Struthio camelus: one gene and its partners. The protein of the gene in region 4 interacts with the protein of the main gene of each other region in a pairwise test. Links are inferred from orthologs where the notes say so. Each region holds a gene or a part of one and is shown on either strand. Other genes may lie near its edges.

Region 1 (7,901 bases), on a different chromosome or scaffold from region 4:
GAGTGGGAACATGGGGCAACCATGTGTGCCCAACATGGGAGTGGGAGCATGAGGTGACCACGTGTGCCCAACACGGGGACGGGAACATGGGGTGACCACGTGTGCCCAACACGGGGACAGGAACATGGGGCAACCATGTGTGCCCAACACGGGAGTGGGAGCATGAGGTGACCACGTGTGCCCAACACGGGGACGGGAACATGGGGCGACCACGTGTGCCCAACACGGGAGTGGGAGCATGAGGTGACCACGTGTGCCCAACACGGGGACGGGAACATGGGGCGACCACGTGTGCCCAACACGGGAGTGGGAGCATGAGGTGACCATGTGTGCCCAGCACGAGGATGGGAACATGGGGCGGCCATGGCATGTCCCACACGGGACGGGAGGGCGGCGGGTTGGCGGTTCCGCGGTGGTTGGGCCGTGGAAGGTTCCAGCGCACCCACCGCCGCCCGGCCCGGCGGCCATGTCAACCAGCCCGGCCCGGCTCGCCCTGGGGCGAGGGCAGCGCCGGCCAAGGCCGCGTCCGGCCGCCGTCACCGCCACCGCCGCCGCTCCTCTGGGCGCTCCCGCTGGGCGGAGACGGGCCGCATCCCGCTGTCTCGCCCGAGGGCACCGCCGCGAGGCAGGTAACCCAGGGCCGCGGCCTCCTCGTGGGGCGTCCCCACGGCGAGGGAGACCGCAGCGATCCCCCCCCCCGAAACACCCACGCCGGGGGGGGGGGTGACACACGCGCTCCAGGGGGGTGACGAACCTCCGCCGGCGCTGCGGCCCTCAGCTTTGTTTTGGGGGAGAAAACACCGCTTTTCGACGGCCCTTCCTCGCCGGCAGCGCTGCGCAGAGCCCGGCTTCCTCGCCACAGGGGTGTCCGCGGCCCGATGGCCAACACCGCGCGCCAGCTGCCCTTCCCGGGGCCGGGGAGGTAGAGGAGGGCGAAAAGGGGCCGCTCCGCGTCAGAAGTCTGTGAACTTTCATTTAAACGCAGAGGAGTTTCGCCAGGAAATTCAGCAGGGCCGGAAGTCCACGCCACGTGCCCGCGGGTCCTTCGAAGGCCATCAGGAGGGCGCTTGCCTTCAGAGCAAGCTGGGCGAGGCGGACGTACTTTCTGTCACCGATTCGGGAGCCGGGTACCTCCCGTCACGGAGGGTAGGACAAACCCGGCCCGGGGCGCCGGGTCGGGACGTTTCCCCCCACCGGAGGAGCTGTCTTGCGCCAGAGAACAACCTCCACCGCCGGAGGAGATTTGGTTGCACGGTATCCAGTCCTCTGCATAGACCCGCGCGCGAGCGGCTCAGCCGCGTTTTTCTGAAGACGGCGCCCAAGACGGACGAGCTGAGTTGTCGCAGGAGGGTAACGCTTTTAGCCCACGTCGTCGAAAAAAAAAAAAAGCTGACGAGTTATTTTCAGCCATTTGCACAAACATAGCCCCCCGGAGGAGCATCTCCTTCGGCTGGTTACCGCTGTGGGCACCGGGGGGTCCCCCCAGCAGGGTTTCCTGGAAGGAGGGGTTGCAAATCTGCTGAAATCCAGCTTCAGCTCCGCTGCTGATGTATATTATTAGACACGCTTAGAAAAGTTAGAAGCCAATCTTGAAGAAACAGGAGCATGGCCAGCATCTAAATGGTCTTACTTGAAGTTTCCTCTGAAACTCAACTGTCATTTTGGTCCTTAAAACTTAAAATACCTGTTCAACAGCAAAAGACTACCTGCATTTAGTAACGAATGCATGGTAATCCTCTGACACAGAAGGCGATCTGCTTCCACACACTAGATGAGTTACAAACGTTCAGCGAATCCCATGCAAAGCCTCTGGTTTTAACAGTGTCTCTCCATCAGCACCATCAGGTGGCTGGAACTACCTGGACTTTGGGGAGGTGAAGGGAAGCTCGAGATTAAAATGGATCCGGAGGTGTCCATCACAGCTCTGCTGCTTGCCCACAGAGCTAGAACTGAGACGTTCTTCCTTTGAAATATCCAGCAGAACTCACTCTTTCTCAGACATTTGAGGTATTTTACGATGGCTTGTCCTGGGGAGGAGCCATGGCATTAAGAACCGTTACTGTTGACTCTGCTGTTAACACATTTGGAGCAACTTAAATGTCCTCTCTGCCTCGGTTTCCCCAAATGGAAATACTAATTCTTGTCGCATGGAAGGATCATAGAGTCAACTGACTAGTTTCTGGACACCTTGGAAATCTAGAGTGCTAAACTATGTTACTCTCATTGCTTTAAGCTCCCAATACAAGGCATCATATACTAATTTGGCAATTAGTGCACAAAGAATACCAAAGACTGCAGGACCTCACTGCTGCCTGTCTGAAACAAGTGCAGTTCCTTTTTTATATTTGTATTCTGGTATTTCTCATATGCAAAAATGTTGGCTTCTCTCTCCTAACAACTTGCTTGAGACATAATGATCCCTTAGAAGCTGCAAGCATTTCAGCTATTCTCTCTTTAGGACACGACTAAAACATCTCAGGATTGCTGCTTTAGGAAACTCCAGACCATCGGTTAAGCTCAAAGGAGCTTATCTTGTCCCAGACCTGCTGGACATGGATTCTTGCCTTTATTTGAATTAAAACCAGCTCATGAAATGGATAAAAACTAAACTGAAAAAAAAAAACCTAGTGGCAGCAACTGGATAAATTGCGCCACGGCATCAATTATGTCTACTCAAGTGGGAAGGCAGAATAAGAAGAAATCAGGGGAAGGCTTTACCTTGTCTGGGAGAAAAGATGTGACGTTGTAAGATGCACGATCACGGTAGAGTTCACCAGACAGGTTGCAGCGTTTGGGCAAGTTAGTGGGTCATGATAAACTCCAGGGAGCAGCTTTGGGGTTACTTTAGTCTGCTACAGTACTGAAACTCCAACTTAATTCACTCGACAGCCAAGGCGCACCGTTTCCTGAGCACAGATGTGGCCAAAGACAGAGAGCTACCCACAGAGCAGCGAGTGCTCTCCTCGTGTTAGCTGATCTCTTCTTGGTCTGGATCTGCTGCAGGCTTGCACCTTTCCACTTTGGCCAAGCAGGACTGCTTGGGACAGTCTCCAGTTTTCAGATGAAGATCTGAACCACTTGTTGAAGGAGAACAAAGTGCAGGAAGGAGTTTCAAAACCATTTTAGCTGAGGTCAGAGAACGACGTACAGAAGGTGTTGGCAGCACGTCGAAGCCGAGCAACTCGTCCCAGCGTAAAGATCCCGTGTGAAGATGACAGCAGACAGATGACAGTCCCCTGGGTGCCTCTCCCTGCACCTCCCACCCTGGGACCCTCTGCTTAGCGCGTGCGTGCAGCTCAGCTCCACCAGCAATCCAGGGAGCTAACACTCCCTACAAATGCTAGAAATGGCTATTTCCGGCCCTCCTGCAGCCCAAACGCTCGCCAGCAGCCTCCCAGGCTGCCTCATTTTGTGCGCTTCTGTCGTGCCTTCTCCCAGCGCTTCCTCTTCGCCCCCTTGTCCCCATCTCGCGCGCTCAGCTCTTCCGCTGCTGCTGCTTAACCCTCCCCATGTCCCTCCCTGGCTGGCTGCGTGTCCTGCGTCATCTGTGGGACAGAAGCCTACGGGACCTGGGGGATGGGAGCCTGGTGTCACCCATGGGACGTGACTGTCTTGTCACCAGTGGGACATGAGCCCCATGTCACCTGCGGGACATGACTGTCCTAGTACCAGTGGGACATGAGGCCTGTGTTACCTGTGGGACATGAGCCCCATGTCACCTGTGGGACATGAGGCCTGAGTCACTCATGGGACACGACTGTCCTGTCACCAGCGGGACATGAGGCCTGTGTCACCAGTGGGACATGACTGTCCTGTCACCCATGGGACACAAGCCCCATGTCACCAGTGGGACATGAGGCCTGTGTCACCTGTGGGACATGACTGTCCTGTCACCAGTGGGACATGAGCCCTGTGTCACCAGTGGGACATGAGCCTTGAGTCACCTGTGGGACGCGACTGTCCTGTCACCAGTGGGACATGAGCCCTGAGTCACCTGTGGGACACGACTGTCCTGTCACCAGTGGGACATGAGCCCCATGTCACCTGCAGGGCATGACCATCCTGTCACTCATGGGACACAAGCCCTATGTCACCAGTGGGACATGAGGCCTGTGTCACCTGTGGGGCACGAGCCCTGTGTCACCCGCGGGACATGAGGCCTGTGTGACTTGGGGGACACGACTGTCCTGTCACCAGTGGGACACGAGGCCCGTGTCACCCGTGGGACCCGACTGTCCGGTCCCCAGCGGGACACGAGGCCCCGGCGGCACCCGTGCCCCCTCGCCGGCCCTGAGGCGAGGCCGCCGCGGCCCACCCCCCGCCAGGCCCGGCCTGTCCCCCGCAGGGCGGCCCCAGCGCCGGCGCCTCCCTCGCCGGGCCCGTGGCGGCGGCGGGACCGGCCCCGTGAGGCCCGGCCCGGCCCGGCTCGCCCGCCGCAGCCCGCGCCTCGGCCGGGCCCTGCCCGGGGCAGCCGCTGCCGGCCCGTGTCACAGCAGAGCCCGCCGGGGACAGGCCCGGGCGGCGGCCACAGGCTCCGCCGCCGCCCGCCTCGGGCCCGGCCGGGCCGCGGGGCAGCCCCGGGGGGCGCCGGCTGCGGCCCCCCCCCCCCCCCAACCCCGGCGGCGGCCGATGCCGAGAGCAACAGGGTGGCCCGCACCGCCCGCCGCCGCCGCGGGCTGCCGCCGGGGCCGCCCCGCAGTGTGTGTGTGTGTGTGGGGGGGGGGGCGGCCCGGTGCCCCTCACCCCCCCCCCCGGCTCCAGCCTCTCCGGGAAACACAAGCGAGAGGCAGGAACGAGCCGAGCACCGGCATCAATCACCGCCCGCCCCGCCCCCCCGGCGCTGACTGACGGGGCGCCGGCCAACCAGGCGGGCCCATGCCCCGCGCGCAGCCAATGGGAGGGGAGGAGGGCGGAAGGTCCCCACTTCAAGGCTGGTTGAGCTGTGCAGGTAGGTGCTGGGATGTGGGAGCCGCCGGGGCCGGTGCCCCCCCCCTCCCCCCCCCCTCCCGGTGGGGGCGGCCCGGGGCCACCCGCCGTGGGTGGGTGGGGGGGGGAGACCCCCGCCACGCTGCTGGCGGAGGGGACCCGCCGCTGCTCCCCGCGCTGCTGCCCACGGGCAGCGCCAGGCCAAGTAGTGCGGCCCCCTTCCCTTCCCCCCCCCCCACTCCGCCGCCGCCGTCCCGCAACTCGTTTGCGGGGGGGGGGGGGGGGCGCGGGCCGGTGCGCGGCGGCGGCCGGAGCCGAGACGCCAGGCCGAGGCGGGGGAGGGGGCGGCTCGCGCGGCCGCCGAGTGAGTTGGGAGCCGGGGCACGCCGGGGGGGGGGGGGGGCCGGCCCGAGGGCCCGGGCGGGCGCGGGGCGCCGGGGCGAGCTCCGCCGCGCTCCGCCCCGCCGTCGTCCCGCGGCCGCCGCGGCGGGGCCGGCTGCGTGCGGGGCGGGGGAGCGCAACACCCCCCCCCCCCCCGAGCCTCCATTTTAGCCCAACGGTTTCCGAAGGAAACCGAAGCCCCGGAGGATCCCGGGGCGGGGGGGGGGGGCTTCTAGAAGGATCTGGGAGCTCAGCCCGTTCCTCGGGGTGGGGGGGGCAGCCCCCCCCCCCCCCTCCCGCGCCGCCGTCCGGTGGGACGCGGCTGCCGGGGACCGGCGGCGGGTGGCCCGGCCCGGCGCTGCCCTCGGGGGCGCGGCCGCCGCCGCCCCGGCCCCGCACGTCGAGCAGGCGGCGGCACGACGCCGCGAAGGGAAGCAAGTCGGTGTGCTGTCTGTTGGCCGTCTCTCCGTTTGCTCCCTCTAATTACGTTTTGTTCCCCCCCCCCCCAACCCCTTCTTACAGATCCTGGATTTTCCACTTCTTCAAATAAATAAATAAAGAACTCGCAGACCTACCAGGAATTCGTCGAGGCTGGAAGGATTCAAAGTCCCTCCCCGCGCTGCTGGGTGTCCCTGCTGAACTACCGTCGGTGAGGATGGATTTTACCAAGATGTCCAGCGAGGTAAGAGCTCCCGTTCTTTGCTCTTCCATTGTAAGCTAGAATCTTAGACTTTCGCCCACTGCAAAACTACCAGAGTTTGAGATGCTGAGTTGTATTCACAGGCTTTATTTTAGTTTCTGATTTTACGAGAAGAGTCCGGTCCTCCGCGCTAATTTCCTGGCAAATGTTTAACTTTAACATGGAGGTTCAGGAATACGGCTGAAAAGGTGGCTTCGTTCCATATACGCAGAGCGTTTCTCTCAAAAACGGTTCTAATGCCCGTATGTAGCGAGGAGATGTGCAGCCTCCTCTTGGCAGTATACGTATGTATTTCCTGGTATTACCTGTCCTCATGTACTACATCTGGATGTAGAAGTGTGACTTGCCATGAAAAAGAATGATCTCTTCTGTTTGTTCCCTTACTATGTGCATCCTTAAAACAGAGGTTTACAGCTATCAGATTCCTTTTGCTTGCTGACATGGTCTGGCTTCTATGTGTATTTCTAATTTCAAGAGACTTCTGTGTATACCTTTTAGTGTGGCCTAATAGACTTGGCTTTGTCCCATGAAAACTGAAGTTCTCTCGGATGGGCAAATCTGCTCACCTTCCCAAACCTCTGGGTTTCCCATGTGTGAAGTGGCCATAGTGCTACTGTATCTGGGAAGGATGGTTGTGAGGATTTGCTGGTGCTTGTTTTGAGAAGTCATGTGTTATCCTGATAATGTCATTACAGTAAAAGAGCTGTGTCCTAAGCAGTTGGGTATAATAATCAAGTTAGTGAATCTGAATACAAGCTGAAATGAAACATAGAAGGGAAGGATAGTTCCCTTTTTTCATGGATCTACAAGCCAAAGCAGCCTGACTTCAGTCCGATTATGGAGGACTGAATTTAGACAAATTCTTTTGTAATAGGAAAACCTAAAATCTTTGCTCAATCCTTTCACACTGACATTAGACAAATCTGCTCTGGTATCTGATCTCCAGTTGGCTAACACAACAGTAAAGGCTCTTATTCTGTGTATGCCTAATAACAGTAAGTTCTTGTGTGGGCTTTAAATAAGAAAATAAAGCTCCCTGTTACAGGTTTTGGAGGTTATCGCTAAATGTGAACGCTTTCTTCTCAGAAGTCTGTGTTCCTACAACTCCTCCTGAAAGTGATAGGAAGTCATCATGCCGCTTCTCTGGAGATCAGTCCCTGTTTCAAAAGCGCCAGAGATCAACGTATTGGCCAAACCTACTATAGGGCTGTATGAAGTTTGACACTTGCATGGATACTTGTGTCGCCTTAAGACGTTGTCAGTCCTATGATTTAAGTGTGCTATATGCCAACTAATGAGGGTCTACTACAGTTGAAAGTAGTGTTGCTCTGTGCAACAAAATGTTCTGATTAAAAATCTGAGTTAATTAGCCTTGTGCTTCAGTCTAGGAAGCTTGGAGGAGGGGCAGTAAAGTAAAATGTTAAAGTGCTTAAACTGCTGCAGAACTGAAGGGCAATGTCATCCTTATGTTGCTAGCTAGAAAAGCTGCTGGTGGTCTCTGTGCCGTGCAGCCTGGACCTATGCCTGGCAGCTTGAGAGAGAACCTCCTTTTTGGTTATAGGAGGGGTACTAAAGATGTCTGCTTTTTCCGACTGAGTGGATCAGCAATGGGCACACAGGAAGATAACACCAGATCCTCTCTACTGTCCTCGAGCTGGCAGGAGTTGAGAGGAGGGAGGTTTGCCTGTGACAGTGGTTTGCATATAGCTAGCCAAAGTCTGCTGGAGAACGTACCAAGGAAGATCTGCAGACAGTAGTTGTGTCAGACTTTTTCCTGTCCTCTCAGCAGTTTTGCTTAGAGGTATTGGCTTCTTGTGAAGTGGATATAGTCGGACCTTGTTTCCTGAATGTACGAGTATGTCTCCTGTTCCTATGCTGTCTAAACTGCTATTGC
Region 2 (6,997 bases), on a different chromosome or scaffold from region 4:
CTTGGTGTTATCACCAGACTCAATCCAAAAAGCTACTCCAGCAGCCAAAGTTATCCTTGTGAAGTCCACCAACGGAGCAGTCAAGAGAGATCTCCTCTAAGATAATACAGATTTTAAGGTTGTCCTTGGGAGAACCAGCATACTGGATAAGGTAAATGAACATGTCTCATGTTCTGTACAGAACTGGACAATAAATGCCAATCACCATTTCCATGTAATCAACGAGTCTGCAATGTGCCAATCACTTTATATTCTACACATCATGATCTCAGTGTGATACGGTTCGGCTGACCACTACAGGTCAGCTATTCTGTGTATAATTTTCTCCCTCATATTAATTCTCTTCCTTATCTAAATCCTCTTCTAATGTTTTCATTTCTTCAGGGGTAAAAAAGGCATTTCATATGGGTTGTAGAGTATGTACTCACACATCCTAGCTTGTACTCTAATCCTGTGTGGTGTTATTCTCTGAAAATTATAAACAGGGAAAGTAATTCAAGCAGTCCCCAAAACTTAATAAATAATCTGCTTTGGATGTATAGGACGTAGTCAGGCTACCTCCTTCTCTGGCCATCATTCCGATTGGAAAATTGATCACCTCCTTTAATTTCTCATTGGTGCTTAATCATCACAGTAAGCAAAGCAACTAGTGGAATGAACAACTGGCCTAATCAGGGTACGTAGGAGGACTTGTATGAATTGTCATGGAGAGAAGCTGCATGAGATCAAGTGAGGAGTTATATTTAACATCGGAAGCAGAGAAACTCCTAAGTATTTCATGATTTGGGCAGCTACCAAAAGGTATTTGTGTTCTGCTGCTTATGCTTCTGCTGCAGGGAGCAGCGCAAGGAGAATATTGCTATCTGCTGGCTCCTTCTACCGAGTCAGGAGAATGCACCTCCTTTGATACTCCCTTTGCTGGAGCTACACACATCTTTTTAGGACCGCTACTGTCACTATGGTTACAGCCAGCCTCTCTAGGCGATCTGTTTGTACCACTGGTTGTAGGAGCAACAGGGATGCAACACGCATCAACAGGGCAACAGCGCTCGGCCCATCTCAGTCTTTGGCACAAACGAGATGAATTTGCAGTCTTTGCCTGCATCAATCCTGGACGGACGACTGGAAGACCTGTGAAGAAAACTGGGAAATGAGAGAACAGATGGGAAACAAAAAAAAAAAAAAAGCAGGAGTATGGTAAGAAAGCCCTAACTTCAAGTGCATGAAGTAAGAGTCCTGCGTGCTTTATAACATCACAGAGAAGAAGCAGCCATCTCTAGTGCCTAATTCAGGTGTCGGATGGGATGAATCAGCCTCTAGACATGCCTCCTCTCCACTTAGGAGCCTGAAGGTGAGGTTGATACAGACCAACTCTTTTTCCTGGAAACAATAGAAGATAAATTAATTTAACATCTTGAAAATGTTTCTGTACTTCTGCATTTAAAATATCTTGTGATTTGTTCTTTTTATGTAAGCCAGTGCACGACTTGGCAACCTCACGGTTTATAACAGCATAGATTGGAGGATCCCTTTCTCCTTTCTTTTAAACTCAACTTGCAACACATAATTTTCAAGGCAATAGTACAAATTGTCTAATTTATCTTTTGCGTAAATATTTTGACAATATGAAAACACAGAATGAGCGGAGCATTAATAAACATGGTTGTTGGTTATACAGCGGAGACTCTTAGTGACAGAAACTGCTGAAAGCAATATGGGCTGGTTCAGACTTTCACAGTAACTTGGTTCAGAATATGTACACTGAACATTAACAGACAATTGTGTCTCTGCAGTAAGTTGCCTACAGTAAAGTTGAAAACTACCTGTTTGCTTGTGTCAAGCAAAGCCACTCTCAATTCCTGCTGGGTGAAATCAGCAAACTCTTAAACGTTCAGTGTATTTTTTCTCCGTAATGGTTAAAAACAAACCTCCTGCCTTCCCGAAAGCCAAGGCAATCTAAACTTTTGCCAGCATTACCATGAAGAATTCAGAATCATCCTTAACGTCAGTAAAGGAACATGAGGTATCTGTAGATCCTCACTGCTGCTTTCTGCTCCTGAAATCAATTGGCATTATGAAATGAATAATGGGCTGTGAACTATACACGGAAAGCTATTTGTGTGCCTCTGCTAACACAGGCTTCTAGCTCCCCCAAATCACTCCACTACCACTGAACTGCGGCGAATGCTTCACACTAAACGGAACGTGATTGCTAAATGTGAGTAGAATTTGCTTGCAAGTGAACTGCATACAGCAGCGCTAGAGAAGACAGTGTTACCTCATCTTTCTGTGCAACTCCAGCATTTCTTCCGTCACTCATCGCTGAACAGAAGTGCCAAACAACCGCGGGCACCGTGGCCGTACGCGGGCTCACTCACTATGGCAGTACACCGGCCTCACTTCTGCGAAGGTTCACAGCGCGCGGACCCCGACGGTTGACAGTTGGTAAGGTTATGTCTTCCTCGAAAGGAAATCTCTGTCTGTATTCAAACACTGCATTTGAGAAAACATTTGAATCTTTAAATCCAAATGGCTCTGCCTGTTGTGCAAAAAATGAAGCAAATGAAGCCAATATCGAAAGCCTGAAAATTGTAACAGCTCTCTTCCACGGTCACAGGCACCAGCCGAACAGTTGTTTTGAAAGAGATTTTTCATAGAAACACTAACTTGCACTTTCAAGCATTGCTTTAACAGGATTCCCAATCTTTCAGGCTACCTACGACTTTAAAACCTCTTGGTCGTTACGGTGGGGAAAGGAAAAAAAAAAGGGAAGCCATAAAAAACGGCGCATTCCAGTCTCTTGCGTACTGTCGTACAGCGCGATGCCAACTGTTATCTTCCCAGCGTAACAGATAAAAGCGGGGCCGCGTGGTCTGCGTATGCCACACAGCCCAGCCATCACTTCACACGCGAAAACGTTTCAGCAGCGGCGACACGCGCTGTTTGCTCCGGCGATTTGAGAGCGCGCCCGCCCGTCGCCTTCTCAGCCCTGCTCCCGGCCGCCCCGCCTCGCACCCCCTGCAAGGGCTTGCGGGCTGCCTGGATGCGCGCTGGCCCCGTTTCGGGGACCGCTCGGCCCCCCCCCCCCCCCTTCGCCTGCGCTTCACTCCCCCAAGTGAAGGTTTGCCCGAGCTGGAAGTGGCCATCTGCCTTCCTTACCGTAACGCTGCGCGGTCACGGCATCCTTAGGGTCTCTTAGATAACCGAGAAAAAATTAATATATATATATGTACATATATTACGGGGACATCTATTTATGGGCAGGTTTGCAATCCCTCGGTGAATTATTTGTCACCTTAACCACAGGACCATGCTGCAGACAGCGGAAGCGTCGTCGGCCTCAGCGGACTTCCCCGCTTGTGCGAGACGAATTCTCTATTCATTTCTACCTTATCTTATTTCATTTCAGCGGCCTGCCGAGCCGCTGTCCGTATGTACCCGTCCCGGCACCCAGCGGCAACCGGAGATCGGCAGTGGCCTCTCGCCCGGCGCAGGGAGCCGAGCCGAGCCGAGCCGAGCCGAGCCGAGCCGAGCCGAGCCGAGCCGAGCCGAGCCGGGCCGGGCCGGGCCGCTCGGGCGGGTGGCGGCGGCCCCTTTAAGAGGCGCGGCGGGGCCGGGCGGGGGTCTCTTCCCTGCGGCACCGAGCGGCCCCCGCCGACCGGCCCAGCCCGGCGTCACCTGACCGCGCCGGGCCACCAACCTGAGCCGGCCGGGCGGGCGGGGGGTGGGAGGAGGAGGAGGGCGCGCCGCGCCGCGCCGGGCTGGGCCGGGCCGGGCCGGGCTGGGCCGTTCCGCCCTCTGCACCGGGGGAGGGGGCGGCGCTGGCTGCGGCAGTAGCGGCGGGGATTAGGCTGCGGGCAGGATTAAGGCGCCGGCTGGAAATAGCAGCAGCGGCGGTTGCCGGGCGTGGACGCCCCAGCGCATCCCCGGCGGCGGGAGGGGGCAGCCCGCCCCGCACCTGCGGCTAGCGCCGGCGCCTCGCCAGCGGGCCGGGCCGGGCCGGGGGAGCGGGCGGAGACTGTGCCCTCCCCGGGAGCGGCGGCGGCAGGAGGAGGAGGAGGGAAGGAAGGACGGGCGGACGGACGCGCTGACAGGTCTGCTGCGGCCGCTTCTTTCATCCGCCCGCTGCGCCACCGCATCGGCGCCCGGGCGCCCCCCGGGGCTGGGCCGGGGGCCGGGAGCGGCCGGACCGGGGGGCGGCGGGGTGGGGGCCGGGGGCGGCCTGCTCGCCCGCACGCCCGCGGTGGCGACGACGGCGGCGGCGGGGAGCGGCCCCGGCCGGGCGGAACATGGCGCGACGAGGCGATGAGCTGCCACCGGGGCGGGGGGGGGGGCGGCGGCGCCCTGCTGCCCCCCCCCGGGCCCTCCCCCCGCCGCCGGCTCCGCTGCCCCCTCCCCGGCGGCGGCGGGGGGGCCTCTGCGTGCGCCGCAGGCCCCTATGGAGACAGGGGCAGGTGGGGGGTGGCTATTCCCGCCCCCCCCCCCCCCCCCGCCGCCGGGGTTCCTGCGTTATTTGTGTGCTGATTCGCCCCCCTCCCTGCAGTGTCTAAAATACCCCAAAATACCTCGGGCATCTTCTCCCGAATGGTCTTGTGAGGCAAATGCTTACACAACGTGGGGGGGGTGGGGGGGGGAGGCCTGTGCCTCGGGGAGGGCCAGGCTGCTGCAGGGACCCCTACGTGGGGTGGGGGGGGTGTACGGTTCGCCCGCTGCCTCCCCTCGGTGCTCAACCCCGAATATCCCCTTCCCCTCCTGTGTTTTCCGCCAATGCAGAGCAGGCAGCAGCGACAGTAGGCGAAGATGTCGGGTCAGACGCTGACAGATCGCATCGCAGCTGCTCAGTACAGCGTTACGGGATCGGCTGTAGCCAGAGCCGTCTGCAAAGCTACCACGCATGAAGTGATGGGGCCCAAGAAAAAGCACCTGGACTGTAAGCATCGCTTTCTGTGTCAGCAGCGAAGACCTGGGGCTAAGGCAGCTGCCTGCAGGGCTCCTTGTTGTGGCTTTAAGCGTTCTGGCCATGGTGTTTGCTGTCATGCTGCGGGCAAATCGTAAGGGTTATGAGAAATCTCCAAGAGAGGATGAGTTGTTATTGCATTTCTTCTCTTATTGCATAATACAGCTCTCGCAGCCATTTTTTTTTTCTCTTGACCCCTTGCTTCCTATTCAGGAAGGCAGTGCAGAGTGCGCCTTATGGAGCGCACCTTGCTCTGCAAGCAGAAAGGCCACAGGGCAAAATGGACGCTGGCTTGTTTCTGCATACTTTGGTCATGATTATGCCAGGCAGAGACACAAATGCTGTGCCAGGAGCTGACCAAGTACTGATAGGAGCGTGGCCACCTCCATAGCAGACTTGTGAAGAGGTTTTAGATGAATGTAACTCTAAATGGCAAGGTACTTGGATAGCTGTAGGCTGTAGATTGGGTCAGCGTCTGGAGAGTTTAAGGGCTGCTGTTGAGGTCCCAAATGTCTAAGAAGAACTTCATGATCTGTCTGGTCTTGTGCAACACATTTTAGTGAAGATGGCTGGTGGCTTTCTCTCAAAGATTTTTTTCAATCTGTTCTGGACTTGCATCAACTAGTTAACGCATGAAAGAAGCTCGAGGTCACCACATTTCTGAAAATAGCATAGTGGTATTGTTTTCTGTTGCTGGTAGTGTTTTTGTCTTGACTGCTTTTCAACCCACTCTACTCTTGGTCTCTTCCTTATTTTTATTTATTTATTTGTAAATGCTAACACGTGGCAAAAACACTTTAAAGAGGGTCCTATACCAAGCAGTCTCTTGGCTGCTGTCTGTTACTAAGTAAAAGTGGTGCGTGTGCATGTAAGTACAATTCTAATGTTGTAATTTTTAAAAACAGGTTGTATTACTTCTAGAAAATAATTCCAGATTTCAGTGCTAGTGACTTCATAGCTAACACTTAAAGTGACACATGACATACTAGTCTTCAAGTGTATCTAAATACTCTGTTACAGGTACATGTCTAAGAGATGCCAATGTAAGCAGCATTGACTGAAGACTTACTTGGATCTAAATCTTTGTTTAAACAGACTGGATATCTTGATATCACATATCTATATCATTAAAGATGGAATAATCTCATCAATGGGAGGAGATATGCACATTCAAAATTGTGAACTATAAATGAAAGACAAATTCATACATTTAAAAAAAAAAGCACCTGAGCTAACTTGCTCATGTGTATGCTCATATGTGTTAGACTCAGGTTTTTAGACCTGATACATCTCCTCAGAACCGTCGGTTGTTAAGTAATTCCTTGAACTCCGACATCCTATTTGTGGACAAGAGTTAAAATGGATCAAATGTAATGAGAGAGTAAAGTTAAAAGTTCATCCTCTGAAAGAGCAGTACCTTAGCGCATGCAGGAAATACTGCTCGATGTGAAGGCAGAGCTTTGAGTCACGTGGCTGACTGCATTTGAAGTTGGATAAGTATCACTTGAAAATGTGGAGAAAGGAATGAAAGGTGAAACTTTCTGATGGCTTAAGATAAGTTTTGAGTTGAGATGCAAAGGATTTAGATGATTAAAACTTCAAGTACCTGAGAAGATCACAGGAGGTGGTTGGAGCAATGCTTTACAAAGAGACGAAAAGAGAAAGGAGGGAAGAATGATATGGGGGACCAAGTACTAGAGTCTTAAGCTGTCTGTTATGCTCTGTAATAGACAAATGGTAAAAGTGCAATAGTAAATGGAGCGCTACGTTTAAAGGCTATTTATGTCAGACTCGGAATTATAGTAATGGTGTGGTGGTTCTGCGTCCTGTAAGGAGCTCCATAATTTTATTTAGTATCTTAGTGGCCGAGGGTCATGTCACATGACTGATCTTCTCCTGGTGCCCTCGTTAGCAGCTGGGCTTTGTGAGTTAAATGGAGAGAGATTACTGAATGTATTCAGCTCATAACAGTGTGTCTAGCTGGTGAGGATGGGACAAATGAATGTGGTACTCGGATGTCTTCTGCAGAAGATACTGATT
Region 3 (6,873 bases), on a different chromosome or scaffold from region 4:
CTTAGCATACAAGGATTCTCTGTTGATCCACAGGGAGAGCTTTTCTGTAAAGAACTTTTGAAACGCGCATGACCAGGGCAGTTTCTTTCCAGGCTTTCAGGACTATCTTGTAATCTGGAAAAATCTATATTCTTCTTTGATAGAGAAGCTTCGTCAGAAGCAGCACAGTCTTTTTCTTCAGTGTCTATTCTGAGCCGCTTTGCCACTGTAAAACTAGCATTAAATGAACGTCTTGTTTTTCTTAATCGTTCCCTCAGAGCTGCACTCATTGGCTAAAGATAATAAAAGAACAACAAAAAAAAGGAGAAAGATTGTTCTGATTTCTCAGAATAACCTTATCTTTGATTCATATCCTGTTTATTATTTACATAGAATACATCACATGTAGGTCACTGTAAAGCCTAACTTCCTAATTGTTGCTATAGTTTTCACAAACTTGAACAAAGTTAACCGTTTCCTTTCATGTGTGCTTGCACACATAGCTGCAAGATATGGGAAAGCTGTGCCTCCAAATTTTCAAGGACCACGTGCTGTAATCCTTATTAAGACAAACTTACTTGTCAAAGTCTCAGTACAGAAGACACAGGGCACATTTCAGCTTGGTTAATTCTGTTCTGTTTTGTTCTACTTCCCCCATAGTTTCAATTACATAAGGATTTTTTTTGTAATATAAGCCATAGTCAATTTGACAGCATCAACATGTTAAGTTGTGTGTTAAGACAAACATCAAAGTAGAGCTAGACACTATAGAGAATATACAAACTGAAAGCACAGTGCATCGAGTTCTTTATGCAAAGCGTGTTCCATATTCAGAGCTAAATAAATAAAAAACATGCATATGAAGCTGCATAGGAAACTTAAAAACTGCTCAGGATGTCACAAGCCACAAAAGAGAAGGCTATTAAAATAAGACCAAGACTAACATTGCTAGACAAACACATGGGAGAGTCTATATTGGAGTCTTTTAAAAACAACATAGAGCAAGAGTCAGATGATTTATTTTCTTTGCTCAAGCGCAAGCAGAAGTCACAGGAAGTAATTCTGCATGCACAGGAACCCAGAAGATTGATTCGAGGAAGCTAAAGACAAAATTAAAAAAGGAGGTTTAAAAAAATAAAAATAAATTACATTATTAAATTTATTAGCATTTACATGGCATTTTGGGTATACTGCTACATCATTTTGCATTCGTAACAGACTTTCATATTTAGAGCAAAGTATACCAAAAGCACTTCTTACCTGGACAACCTTGCAATTACAGTTATAAGCTACTTATAACTTTAGCCTTCCAGTGAACAGTTCCTCAGTGACTACTTGACGATTTCTAAGTATTTTTGTCACTCATAAGTCACGTTAATGGAAACAAGTTAAGTTTTCGTACCCGTTTCCCTGAACTAGTGCTCTGTGGAGCTGCTGTCCCAGAATCCTTTGGAGTACTGCACAGAGATGTCGATTTAGCAAACCCTGGTTCTTCCATCTTCAGATAGAAAGCAATTTCTGTTAAAAGAAACATTAAATTATGCACGGTGCCATTTTTACCTAATTATAATGGGCCACATGGCTGCGGGGATGAGTAAAAAGCCCTGAGAAGAAATAGTACAGCTTACCATCTGTTACGTTCAAAAAGACATCTGCCGATGTTCTACAAACATTTCTTTTGCTAAGAACCATTTTGGATTGTGAACAGCTTTACTTCAAGAGGATGAATAGCAGTACTACCAGCTACAAAGCATCTTACTGTGAATTTTGTTTATTACATCTCCTTCGTTCATAAAGTGCTACAACATGTATTCCTTAAAATAAATATTACTAAAAGTGTATAGTTATTCTTCAGTGTTAGCTTTTTTCCACCTATAACATTGGTGAGCCCTTTCAAGTGTTAAAAATGAGCAAGATTTATGAAGCACCTAGGCCCATTATAATATGCCTATAAATCCTAAGGTCAGATCCTGCAACATCAAACTTATCAACAAAAAGCTCACTTCAAACAAACTCTATTTTCTTCTTAACCTGAATGACCCTTACTGCTTGTCTAACTCACAGGAGTAATCCTTAGTAAGCCAGGTTGTGAAGAATCACTCCTTCCATTTAGCTGCATCCCAAGTAGAGATAAAAGAATTGCTGGGAGCCATGAGATTTTTATTGTCTGTCTACATAAACAACTAATCTTTAAAGAAAAGAGTGCCCATGTCTGTGAAAATAATCTACTGTCTTATTTGACCCTTTTGGGGGAAGCTACTTGAAAAAGTAATTACTCACACAAGTGGAATTTTAGATTAAAACTAAGCCTCCCCAGTTTACTCAGAGAAGCACCCTAATTAAAATGATAAGTCATACCTTCTCAGCATGTATCAACTTTAAATTGATTTGGCAGTGTTTAAGTGAGTTTAGCACTTGTGAACACCTGCTAGTGACCAGCATGCAACTGGAAAATTGTCAGCTATACCTCCCTGTACCTGGAAATTGCAATTAGGGGTTTTGAAACAGAAGCCTCTTGAAAATAAAAACCTGTAAACAAGTTGCCAGGCAACACAAGACTGGCACAAAGGGCTTCCTCTTCAGGAATGGAACCAATCAAAGCTTCAGTACACCAAAGCTTTACTAACCCTGCCACTCAGGTCCTCCAGGCTCTGTAACAAGGGCATGAGTCCTCATTCATCTTGCAAGTCAACATTCCCCCTAGCTGTTCAAAATTCAACATACGGTTTTTCATTAAAAAAGAAAAACTTTATGTAGGAACAAAAGTCTGATACAAAAGTATCTTGGCAATCTGCGCATTAAAGAGGAAGCCCACAGCACCTGTCAAACATAATGTAAGTTATCACTATTATTTCTCAGTCTGAGCAAGAGGCCCTGAAAAAGCTACATCATGCCTATGTAGTACATCACAAGTATGTAATAAATCTCTTACTACCAAGCAACAAACCTGAGAGCTAGCTTCAACATTTGTTCAACTCTTTCCAGGAAAAAAAAGAAAATCCTGTGACTCACTGCCTTTACATTCTAATGCGGAGTATTTGTCTTGAAACGACCATGAATACAAAGATTTTTCAAGGGTTCACTAACACTGTAACTGTCTCTAGAGTAACATGTTCACAATTCTCTCCTGCACTATTAAAAGCCTTCCCAAGTATCTCAGCCTAAGAATCCTTTGCATTTTCAAGTAGTAATGCTATTAATCACACAGAAAAATAACTCTGTCCACTAAGTAAGGAAAAGTTGGACCAGAAGTGCAAAAGACAATTTTGCACTCCAGTACTTACTTCTTCGGGGCTTTGGACAACTCCCCGACGCTAGGTGCCTCAGTTTTCCTGCTTACGGCTGCGCTGTGTAACAGCACTCACTCCGTTTACATTTTCCTCCGATAAACCGAGGGCTGCAGTGACCCTCCGCCACTGTCATGCCTGGCTAGTTTTCCACCCCTCGAGTAGGCAGGAAGAAGGCTGGGCAGCCCTGTGCAGGGTCACAGCCCCTCAGAGCTCCTTCTGAGACCACACCCCCCCCCCCGATGCGTAACCAGGACACCGAGGAGGGCCCAGAGGCAGCGCAGAAAGGGGGCGCAGCCCGCCGAGAGGCCACGGTCCAAGCCAGAGGCTGCTCGCAGGCCGCGGAGGGGCGGGAGGCCCCTCACGGAGCGCGGGGCACGCTGTGGCCGAAGCAGCCCTCTGAGAGCCAGCGCAGCCAACCCCCGGGGTGCCACCGACCCCGCCAGCCCGGGGGGGGAGGGGGGCAGCGTCCCGCCCACGCTAGGGGAACCCGGCACCCCGCCGACCTGAGGGGACCCCCGCAAGCCGCCAGCACCTCACCCGCCGCCGCGACCAACGGCCGCCGACCCCTCAGCGTGCCAGGCGCCTGCGCACCCACCCCCAAGGGCCGCCCGCCAGCAGCCGCTTCAATTTCCCGCTTCCGGAGAAAAGGGGCGGGGCCAGGGGGATCTTCGCAGCGCGCCTGCGCCGCTGTGGCCGGCGGGTGGGGCTCCGCGCGCCGGGCAAAGCGGCGCGGGCGGGCGCGCGAAGGTGGCAGTGGGACGGGCGAGCGGGCGGGCAGAAAGGAAGGAAGGAAGGAAGGAAGGAAGGAAACGAAAGAACAAAGCGTGGTTGCCGTCGCTGCCGAGATGGGGCCGAGCTTGTGGAGCCCCAGGCTCAGGGCACCTTTGAGGATCCCCCACACTCCTCCATTGCAGTGGAGCATGCAGCACCAGCCTGCTGCGGCTGTGTGGTGTTACGGCCAGACCTTGCCCAAGGCCTGGCGCCATCTTGGTGGAGGTCGTGCTTGCACAGCCGGTCCACTCGGTGCCGCCAAGAGGGGTTGCCACCCGCTGCCCCGAGCTGCGCCTTCCCCTCAGCTGCCGTCTCCTCACAGAAGGGGGGAAGCTGTCCTGGGGGAAGGCACTGGGAGGAGGGCAAGCCAAGGGGGTTCGGAAATCCAGGCTTCAAATGTAAGGGACAGCGAAAGAGCTGAAAAAGAAATGACTGGAAAAACAGACGGGATGGCCGCAGGGAGCGGCCCCGTGCGGGAGCAGCCCGAGCCACGGGTGCGCTTATGGGGCGCAGCGCTGGACCAGAGGCCCCTGGCGCTCAAAGGCGCTGCTGACCAAGCGTAATTCTCAAATCAGCCTTCTCAGCCAAATCCCCTGCCATGCTGCGGGCCAGTTCTCCCTGTGTGGATTTACATTTCTCAAGACTGATCTGTCTAAAGAAGGCTTTTCCGGTATAACTTTCAGAGCTGAGGAAAAACAGCTGAAGTAGCCGTAAGGGCTGTATTTCCCAGTCTGCCGCCAGCAGATGGATGATGTATCCGTGGTCCCTCCGGCACTGCCCGCAGCTGGACTGCATGATGAGTCCTCACCCAGCGCGTACCGATTGCTGTGCGTGGAGTGTACAGACTTGCGAGTCTCATCAGATCATGCCCTTAATTTGCATGGCAGAACTGCATTACTTTCCTGCCTGATTCCTCTTCGCAACCACAGATGAGGACGCTGCATTTATCCATTGCCTTGCATAACTTCCATCTGTATTGAGACAGGATACACTTTTGCCTGGAGAGGTGAGTAAGCACAGTGGAGTGTAGGCATGACAATATGGTGGTAGTTGCCATGCTTTTGACCATAAGTACGCGTAGATTCAGTCACTGTGATGATAGCAACCTTTCTCTCGCCTAACACCTACAGTAAAAAGCATCCAAGCGTTCACAGACAATCTATAATGAGTCGATTTGGGAAACCTTTGGGCTTTTGCATTATTCCTTGAGTATCACTTGACTATCTATGGGTGGCATGGATGTAGAAATAATGTTCTCAGTAGCAAATGGGGGAAGTTACGTTATACGACCAAGCTGTGTGATTAGTTATCTAGCAGAAAAACTCAGATGATAACTATTGCTTGAAGGAATTCTGAGGCATTTGTTAAATCCCAATGTGACATATCCCTTTTGTTTAATACCTGCAACTAATTTCATGTTGTAAATCTTTTTTTAAAAAATGGTATGTCAGAACAGCGCTACTCAATACAACAGTAACAGTTTTAATAGAACTCCTACTCCACATTTACAAGTGAGCTGGATTTCAGATGCACAGCAGCTTTGAGACAGCATGTCTCCAAGTTCAAAACATGTTTCTTTCTGTCTCAGTGATGGTTCCTTTTAAAAATTAGTCATGCTGTGTTGCACAGACATGCTAGTGGTTGAGTTGCACAAGAGCAACAGAAAGTTTGAGATTTCAGATCTTTTGCCAGCTGAGACTCCAGGAAGGTTTTACAGGAACGTAACACATGAAAAAGTAGATACACAGAACAGTCACCCTGTGTGTTATCATTGTTATTTTATTGCAGTAACACCCACATGCCCCACCCCAGGTGAAGATTCCAGCGTGTCTGAAACTGTGAATGTAGAAAGACAGTTCCACACATCGGGTTTATAAGCTGTATGTGCTACACAAAGAGGAGAAGAGGAAATATTATCAGTTGTATTCACCAATGCATAATCACTCTTGGAAAAGATCCTGTTTCAGGTTGGTATTCAGTATTTACCTGTGTTTACCAAGTTTACCTATGTAGTCCTGTGAAAACATGCGACTTGCCCAAGATCAGATCTGGCAGGAGGTCCCTGACACAGCTGGGAACTAAACTGTAATCTCTTTACGAGTTCCTGTCCAGCCCTTTTATTGCAAAAACCCAACAGAGATGGATATTATGTTATCCAACACTTCATGATTGCAAGCAAGAATTAGACTAAACCCATCCTCTCAAAAAGTACATCTGTTTCCCCTGAGGAAAAAGAGACGCTCCATATATTATCAATATTGGCATATTTATGGCACACTGTGTAACGTTTCTCATATTGTTTGATTACTTTTTATTCCTTTTGCGACCAGAATAGTTTTATTTAAGCAAAATAAGAGAAAAAAAGTCTTTATAGGAAATTGTTCACTGAGTGATAAAATTACTGAGATCTATTTGCAGAACATACCCTTTGAACCTGGCAGAGAAACTTGTCTCCCTAAAGAACAAGGAGGAAAATGTGCTTCCTAGTTTTGTTTTCTGTACGCTTTGGTGCTTCTATGATTACACTTCAATGATTAGATTTTTTTTTCAGTTTACACCAGTTTAACGGCAGACAATTTGTCCCAGGACTTGACTGCACAAGTGAAAAATATTCTTTATATAAGGTCTCTCTCTTTAATCTTACATTACCAGAAAAGCACTAGAGTTCAGATATCAACACTGACAGGACAAGAATATTTTCTAGTCCACTGTGAGCATCATCTGTAGTAGCAAAGCCAGCATAAGTAGATCGTAATAATAAAGGATACTGACTCTGGGTCTAGAGATTCCAGTTTGACCTTTATGTGTTCTGTTCCTTCAGTGCACCAGAAGC
Region 4 (7,320 bases):
CATTCTTGTTTCAGAAAAAGAGTATTTTATGGGGCAGGTGAATCAACCAGGTGCTTCACTTATTCTAGCAGCTTTGGCTCAGGGCATATAGCCAGAGAGTCTGTATCTGTTTAACTCTCCAGCTAAAGCAAAGTTTAATTGTTAAGAAACAGAAACAACACCTTCCTATGTCTCAAGAAGCTATTGCAGCCTGTCAATCTGTTATGCCTCTTCCAGCTCTTTGCAAGGTTACAGCCAAAAAGTAGGATCCCAAAAGTAATACAAAACCAGAATTACGTAGGAAGAACATTTTTTATGCTCCAAGAAAATTCCTCTTTTTTTGTTCAACAGACTACCCATGGATTTGGACAGGATCCCCTGCTCAGCTGTTTACCATCACTAAAAATGTTGCAGGAGCTGTTCAAAGCTGTTCATGTAGTCTGCATGTCCCTCCATGTTACTCATGCCCTGATACCACTGTCCTCTGGTCTGGTCCATACTAGAAATGTCTGTGTCTGAGACAGGAAGTGGGTGCTTTCCATTGTCAGGCTGCATCTATAATTTTCAGGAGCATTTGGTAGTTTGGCTGACCTAGGTTGGGAACTGCATGTATAAATACAAATACAAATACAAATACAAATACAAATACATATACATATACATATACATATACATATACATATGCACATGTATGCTACTGAGATCATAAGGTCATTTGGGAATGGAGATAATACCCTACTGTTTGTGGTATATAAAGAAAAATAGAGCTAGGAAGCTTTCCATTCCAGCTGCTGAGCAGTTAGGCCTTAAATATTTGGCTAGCAATACGCATTGTAGTGCCACCTTGTTGCTTTGCAGCCTACTTCAGCAAAGGAATTCTGTGGTATCAAGTCAAATTAGTGGCTGGAAAGGTCGGGTCTCCTGCTGTGGAAGGAGGTAAAACTTGGAGGAAAAGGCAATATGCATTATGTCTTTTGCTGCTTGCAGTAGTGGTGGTCTGTTTGAAACAGCAAGTTTCTCTGTGACCCTCTTGATGCTGGGACGACTTTTGCAACGTGTGCGAGATCTGTGAATCTTGGCATGAGTCAATCTGTAAGCTGCTTCATCTCCTATTGACGCTATGTGGTCAACAGCACTTCCTACTGGCATCTTCAGGAGGATTGTGTGAGATTCTCAATGGAATGTTAAAGATGTGTAAGCACTTCTGCTGCTCACACAGTTCACTAACCGTAGTTGCTTTTTTGCCGTGTTTACCAAGTCTTAGATATTCTCTCTGTATTTTCACCCCATGTGAGAAGGTCTCAACATGCCCAACCTCTACTAGCAATTCTAGTCCAAGGTCCTCAAAAGTACTAGGTCTCCAAACTAAGCCTCATGCACTAGTCTCCAGACTAAACCTCAGGCTATCTGTTTTGTGGTTTTAGGATAATTCTTTCAGTTCCAGTGCCTCCCTTTAGATCCACAGGGATTCATGGAGTTTTTGTAAGTTGCCAGCTTTTGATTCTTCAGCTACATTGAGCCGTGCTTCCTCAGGGTACTACCTCTTCAGTGAAACAAGCATGCTAAAGGTCAAATTTAACAAAGCCCCAGAGACTCCTTCTCAGGCTTTACAAACACTCCATAGAGAGCTAGTGGCAGAAGTCCAGATAAACCACATGATTCCAAAATAAACAAACCTTCTTCCCCAGAGCAGCTTCTTCCCAGTCTTCTTGCTTCCTTTGAGACTCCTTCTGATGCCCTTGGATGTAGAAGCTGTCAACACGTCGTCTTCTTCCCAGGCTCACCAGATCCTGTAGTCATAATCTGTCTGGGAACCGCATCAATTTATGATTGTGTCAGACTGAGAGAAGAGACAAATTGCTTCCCTACAACTTCCTCCTGCTGAACTACCTGCTCTCAGGGGCCCAGGTGTAATTACTCTGTCAGCATGCAAGCTGTCCACTTGTCTTCCCCTGCAGAAAAATAACCTCTTTCCATGCTTGAACTAATACCAGATAAATCTGTTTTGTAAAGTCTTCCTTTTTGTTCCTAAATCTGAGTCTGATTCATTCTCACTCAGGCTCTACTCTGTCTTATCCGAAGACTTGGTTCTGGCATGGGAGAACTTGTAACAATTCCTTTTAGGAGGAGTGTGACAACTGCAAAGTGCTATTTAGCAAGGCAGAGGAGCTGCAAATTTGGGCTGTTAAATGGGCAGGCAGTCACAGTGCACAGCAGTACAGACTGCATGTAGCCCTATTGAAGTTTAGATTTCAAAAATTAATGGTCACAACGGGCTGAGCAGAAAAGCAGAACTTTCCTTCCTAGGGCCCCAAACATGATCAGGAAGATAGGAAGCAACATGAACAAGCACTTGGAAACAAAGTTTTTGCTTTTTGATAAAGGTTGTAAGGTGGGAACCACAAAGCAGGTTGCACAGAGTGTGTAGTACTCTATCTGGTAGGAATGTCCCTGTAGGAGACAATGATGGTGCTGGTGGTCCTGTGTTGTTATTTCCCTTCAATTGGCTTGTCCTGACTTTAGGGGGAGTGTGATATAGGATCAGAGAATTTGGAATGTCGTTCCTTCTTCTCAATCTCACTCTTTCTACTTCTTTATGTCAAGAACAATTTAAAAAATACCATAAGATATAATTTAACTTTATAAACACTTAATGCTTCACTATTTATCTGATAATTATTCAAATGAGGGATTGGGTTTTGACTAGCTGTATCAGACAAAATGCTTTTAGGGTTCATTCTAGGGACTCTTTCCCAGATGCTCCAGCTGTTCTGACATTGCTGGACACCCGCAGATCTTAAATTTTATTCATGTAATAAGCTGCCACACCTTATACTTGCTTCACTGTGCTTATATTTGGTAAATAGTGTCTGAATATAGAGCTGAATTTTGGCCAGCCTGGGCAGCAAAACTTTTTCCCTTTTCTTTCGGGTGGCTTGTACTTACAACTATCCGGCAGTTCTGAAGCAGCTGGAATCACTCTCTCCTCAGGTCCAAACTTTGGTCCTCAGTAAACATTCTGGCTTGCTATCTTTTGTTCCCGTGTTGTAGGTAATGCTTGAGTAAGGAACTCAACTTTGACTAGCTCAGTACCTTAGGAAGCTGAAGCCAATTGTTTGCTCTTGGATCTTTGTTACTAAATAACTTCATTGGCTTTAAAACAAAATCCAAAGGTTTCTGCAGTCAAAAGAGCTACGTCTTGCATCCACTTTCAATTTGAGTGCCCTAGAGTAAGACTTAGATACGTTTAAAATTATGCTGTATCTTGACAGATACATCTTACTTCTATTTTGTAAAGTACTCTGTGAACAGCATTTGGAGAGGGGACTAAGCTTTGACAGATACATGACAAAATTCTTTCCATGCTACCTGTGAAGTCACATGGACCTGTGACCATCAGGCCACTCTGAACTAGCTGGCTCTGGCTACTCCCCATGCAAGGCTTTAGGACTATTTAGTCAAGAGTCGGACTAGACAGAAATACATATTCGCATGCTGGTAGCACATATATTACCCTGAGGGACTGTGCAGGCAAAGTGACTTGGGCACTTGGGAGACAGGTCTTCACACACAAGTGTGCCCCACAGCACCTGCGGTACCTCCACAGCTGCCAGGAAGAGCTGGAGTTAGCGTGTGCGTGCTGCCGGCTTGTCTTTGGGGCAGTTCCTGGAGGCACAGGGCTGCTGAACAGCAGTCAGGCAAAACCAGTCCAGCACCTCCTCAAAGCTTTGGTCCTGCTGCGCTCATGCCCTAGGCCTGACCTGCATATCCATGGTGGAAATGTCATGGTTTTCTAGATTTGACTTATTACCAGGACAGCAAGATAAGGCGTTATCTTATCCCATCGTATAAGTAGCGTTGCAACAGAAAACACAGTTTTGGCCTGCGGGGCAAAGGAAAACGCTTTCTGCAACACACAGGGTAGGCGCCCGTGGGCGCTTCCGGGCAGGACCACGGGGCAAGGGCATCCATCCTCCCGTTCATCCCTGGCGCACAGTGGGCATCACTGGGTGGGGTGCAGAGGTTAACACGCAAACAGATCCCAAATTTAAGCAACACCCTCCTCTCCTGCAGGTACTTGACAACCAAAAAGCGCCCCGCTCCCACTCCCGGCAGTAGCAAGAGGCAGCCCAGCCCAGGGCTTTAGCCCCCCTGAAGACACTCCCTTGGCAGCTGGGTCCCTCAGAGCTAGCAGGGCCTTAGGCCCCACTGGAGGAGGCAGTGACCTCAAGGTAGGAGGGCGTATGTGGGGGGGGGGGGGGTTGCTGGGCTGGGGGCAAGGCGGGGCGCCCTGAGGCAGCCACTACCTTGCCCAGGCCTAGCACGGGCGAGGCGAGGGCGGGGCCTAACATGGCCGCGGGGGCCCGTTGCTAGGGCCGCGCCGCTGCGCCTAGCAACAGCGTCGTGGGAGCTGCGCTTGTGCAGTGAGGCTCCGTGCGCCGCGGGGCAGCTTGGGAAGGCTCGAAGTCGGCGGCGGCGGCGGCGGCGGCGCGCTCCCGCCGCCGCTATGAACGAGGCGGTGGTGCGGCGGACGCAGGAGTCGCTGGGCCAAGTGATCCGCAAGCCGCCCCTTACGGAGCGGCTGCTGAGCAAGCCGCCCTTCCGCTACCTGCACGACGTGATCACCGAGGTGGGCCCGGAGCCTGGCCGCCGGCCCGGCTCCGCTCCGCTGGTTGCTAGGCAACAGGGCCGGCCGGCCGGCCTGGCCCGCTTCCTTGACGGGGGCGGAGGGGCCTGCGGGGGGCAGCGGGGCCGCTGTGCGCGCCGTGGGGCGGGAGAGCCCCTGGCCTTTGGAGGAGGTGAGGCCTGAGGAGGCCGGAGCTCTGCCCGCAAGCCCCCGGGGGCGCACGGGGCTGGGTGGCCCCAGGGGGTGGCGGCTGCGGAAGCTCAGCTCGCGGTGGGGAAGACGTAAACCGGCTTCTTAGCGTGGCTTTCGGGGGGTTAAGACCAGGCAAGGGGTCTGACTTCTTCCTCCGGTCCAGTGTGGAGCTGGTCTTTTGTGAAATCTGCTGTTGGAAGGTTGTAAATGCTAATGAAGTGTGCGTTGAAGCAGCTTGATTTTCCACCTCCCGCTTAGAATGAATCTTAATTTTTGTACTTACTGAGCTTCTGCTTTTGTATGTAGTTGCATGTAAAGAAATCAATAAGGGAATAACCGAGAGCTGCGTTGAAATCCTGTACCCTGGTGCTAAGTTAACATTGCCATTTGAAAAGCATGTGTCTCAGCCTTCAAGGTTCCCAAACATCAAGGTTAAGTATGGGTTTAAGTGGGAAGGGACAGTAAGGAAGGAGTAAGTTTCACTGAAACATGTTCGAGAGCATATTCAGCGATACAGCACACCTCTGAACCTGCTCTAGAACTAATTCTAAATGACGTATCCTCTCTGAAAGTAAGACTGATACGTTTGCTCTTGTCAGGAAGTTCACAGAGACCGTTCCTGTCCATAAATGTTTTCTTAAAAAAAAAAAAATCAAGAAGTTTTCTTAACCTGTTACTTTTCCTCTGTTTTGAAGGTAATCAGAGTAACAGGTTTTATGAAAGGACTTTACACGGATTTTGAATTGAAATCAGATAACGTTAAGGTGGGTATTAAACTTCCTTATTTATTGGGTTTTAATATTAAGATTCTTTCAAACCTGCCACAAGGTATTTTTCATCATTTCTGTGTTCAATTTCAAGTGATTGTCTTTAATTTAACATTGTGAAGAAATAGTAGGAGGTATTGCATATTGGTTATCTTATGTAGTGCCTAAGGAGAATACCTACAGATTCCATTCATGGAATGTCTGTGTAAAAGAACTGTTTCTATACAGATCTTGAAACAGTGAGATCTAATCTATGACGAGATCTAGATTTTCAAAGTATTATTGTATTACAGATAATAATAATCATGTAATAAGATTGCGTTGAGGTAAATAGCCACTGATAATAAAATCACAGATGCTAAAAATCCATGCACAGCTCTTCTAAGAGACTGGTGGTCTCTCTACAGAATGTGTGTTTTCAGATTTATTACTTAAAATATATATATATTTATATACATGCACATATATATATGCATACACAATAAATATTCTTGCTTAATATTGCAGGACTTTCTGAAGTGCTCATGTGGTGTATACAATCTATAATAATTTTATTGCTATCTACCAATACCTAATTAATGAAAGAGGAGGTTAATGTTATTAATGAAAAATATTTTTGTTCCTTACAAGAGTGATTCTTGTCTGTGTTTGCTCTTCCTCTGCTGTCTGCCTCTCTGCTCCGCCAGGGATGCTGACTTCTCCAACTACAGGCTTGATTCAAAGCTAGATTGTCATTTGAGTTTCTAATTCATGGCAAATAATGTAGTTCCTAGTTAGAAAGCTATGTCCACTGCAAATTGTTTAGTGTAGCAACTACAAATACAAGGTCTATGAGCCTGGCTTATCTGGTATAGAGATCTGTATACAACCAGTGGCGTAGATGGTTTGTGCAATTCGTGCAGATAATTACTAGTCTGATGTGTACATTTATTTCTGTGGATGTTCATACTGTTATTTGAATTGCTAACATCTAAATTAGTTATACCAGAGACTTATACATGTGTATGTATTTGGTACTTTCCCTGCTGAAGCTTGTTAGTAGTTCTGTGATGAAGAGCAGCAAAGTACTCTTGTTTGGAGAGCCCTGTGCATTTTTTTGTTTTGTGAACTGAAAAAAACAGATTTCCTAGCAACTCTAAAGTAGATCTTTGCTTCTGTATTTGCATTCTGTCACATCTGTGAAGTTGCATGAACCTCTTGAGCACTTCTCTGAGAATTTCTTCCGCGGTCCATGCTATCATAGTTTTCATGAGTTCAGGTAGAGGAGATCAAAATGCTGCAATGCTGGGAAAACAGCTATAGTTTGTGTTCCCCTTTTCGAAACACAGGTCAGGGGGAAGACTCTGTGCTCACAAGATGCTTTGTTAGCATAATCTCTGTTGGAGTTTTAGAAAATCAGGAGAGTGATCTTTTTATGGCAGGAAAAGGGGGAGGAATCTTTTTGTGGAGACCAGAGCTACCTGCAGAGAGTTAGAGACAACAGCGGAGAGTTAGAGTCCATGTTGTGAATAGCTGTATATATTTCCATGCAAAGGTGATCTGCTTTAGGTAACACCAAGGGATGGTACTCATCTGGTGTGAGGATCTCGGCGATGGGTACATAGACTTGGAATGGGCAGGATGCTCTCAGAAAAAGGAGAGGTCTGTACCCAGTCCTGATGCTGTAGTCCAGAGTTCTTGCCGTGGGAGGAGAAAATTGGCAGTTGTTCTTTGGAAGCTGGTTGTGTGGTGCAGTTGCAGATCACTAGAAGCATA

Evidence for each region.
Region 1: the proteins of TRAF3IP1 (region 4) and KANSL1 interact in a two-hybrid assay, tested with the Homo sapiens proteins (2 studies listed by IntAct). The link is inferred for Struthio camelus from reciprocal best matches to the Homo sapiens genes TRAF3IP1 and KANSL1.
Region 2: the proteins of TRAF3IP1 (region 4) and SNAP91 interact in a two-hybrid assay, tested with the Homo sapiens proteins (2 studies listed by BioGRID and IntAct). The link is inferred for Struthio camelus from reciprocal best matches to the Homo sapiens genes TRAF3IP1 and SNAP91.
Region 3: the proteins of TRAF3IP1 (region 4) and SFR1 interact in a two-hybrid assay, tested with the Homo sapiens proteins (2 studies listed by BioGRID and IntAct). The link is inferred for Struthio camelus from reciprocal best matches to the Homo sapiens genes TRAF3IP1 and SFR1.

The regions. Positions count from the first base shown.
Region 1 is NC_090966.1:4,396,916-4,404,816, forward strand, and holds the start of KANSL1 (KAT8 regulatory NSL complex subunit 1), read left to right. Parts: upstream 1-4,888; 5' UTR 4,889-4,948; intron 4,949-5,713; exon of another isoform or gene 5,714-5,829; 5' UTR 5,830-5,989; intron 5,990-7,901. UniProt on the Homo sapiens protein: Non-catalytic component of the NSL histone acetyltransferase complex, a multiprotein complex that mediates histone H4 acetylation at 'Lys-5'- and 'Lys-8' (H4K5ac and H4K8ac) at transcription start sites and promotes transcription initiation.
Region 2 is NC_090944.1:47,477,865-47,484,861, reverse strand, and holds the start of SNAP91 (clathrin coat assembly protein AP180), read left to right. Parts: upstream 1-3,976; 5' UTR 3,977-4,094; intron 4,095-4,773; 5' UTR 4,774-4,800; coding exon 4,801-4,930; intron 4,931-6,997. UniProt on the Homo sapiens protein: Adaptins are components of the adapter complexes which link clathrin to receptors in coated vesicles. Clathrin-associated protein complexes are believed to interact with the cytoplasmic tails of membrane proteins, leading to their selection and concentration.
Region 3 is NC_090948.1:14,480,173-14,487,045, forward strand, and holds the start of SFR1 (swi5-dependent recombination DNA repair protein 1 homolog), read right to left. Parts: upstream 3,018-6,873; 5' UTR 2,656-3,017; coding exon 2,607-2,655; intron 1,498-2,606; coding exon 1,382-1,497; intron 273-1,381; coding exon 1-272. UniProt on the Homo sapiens protein: Component of the SWI5-SFR1 complex, a complex required for double-strand break repair via homologous recombination. Acts as a transcriptional modulator for ESR1.
Region 4 is NC_090947.1:2,128,689-2,136,008, forward strand, and holds the start of TRAF3IP1 (TRAF3-interacting protein 1), read left to right. Parts: upstream 1-4,319; 5' UTR 4,320-4,486; coding exon 4,487-4,609; exon of another isoform or gene 4,610-4,778; intron 4,779-5,493; coding exon 5,494-5,562; intron 5,563-7,320.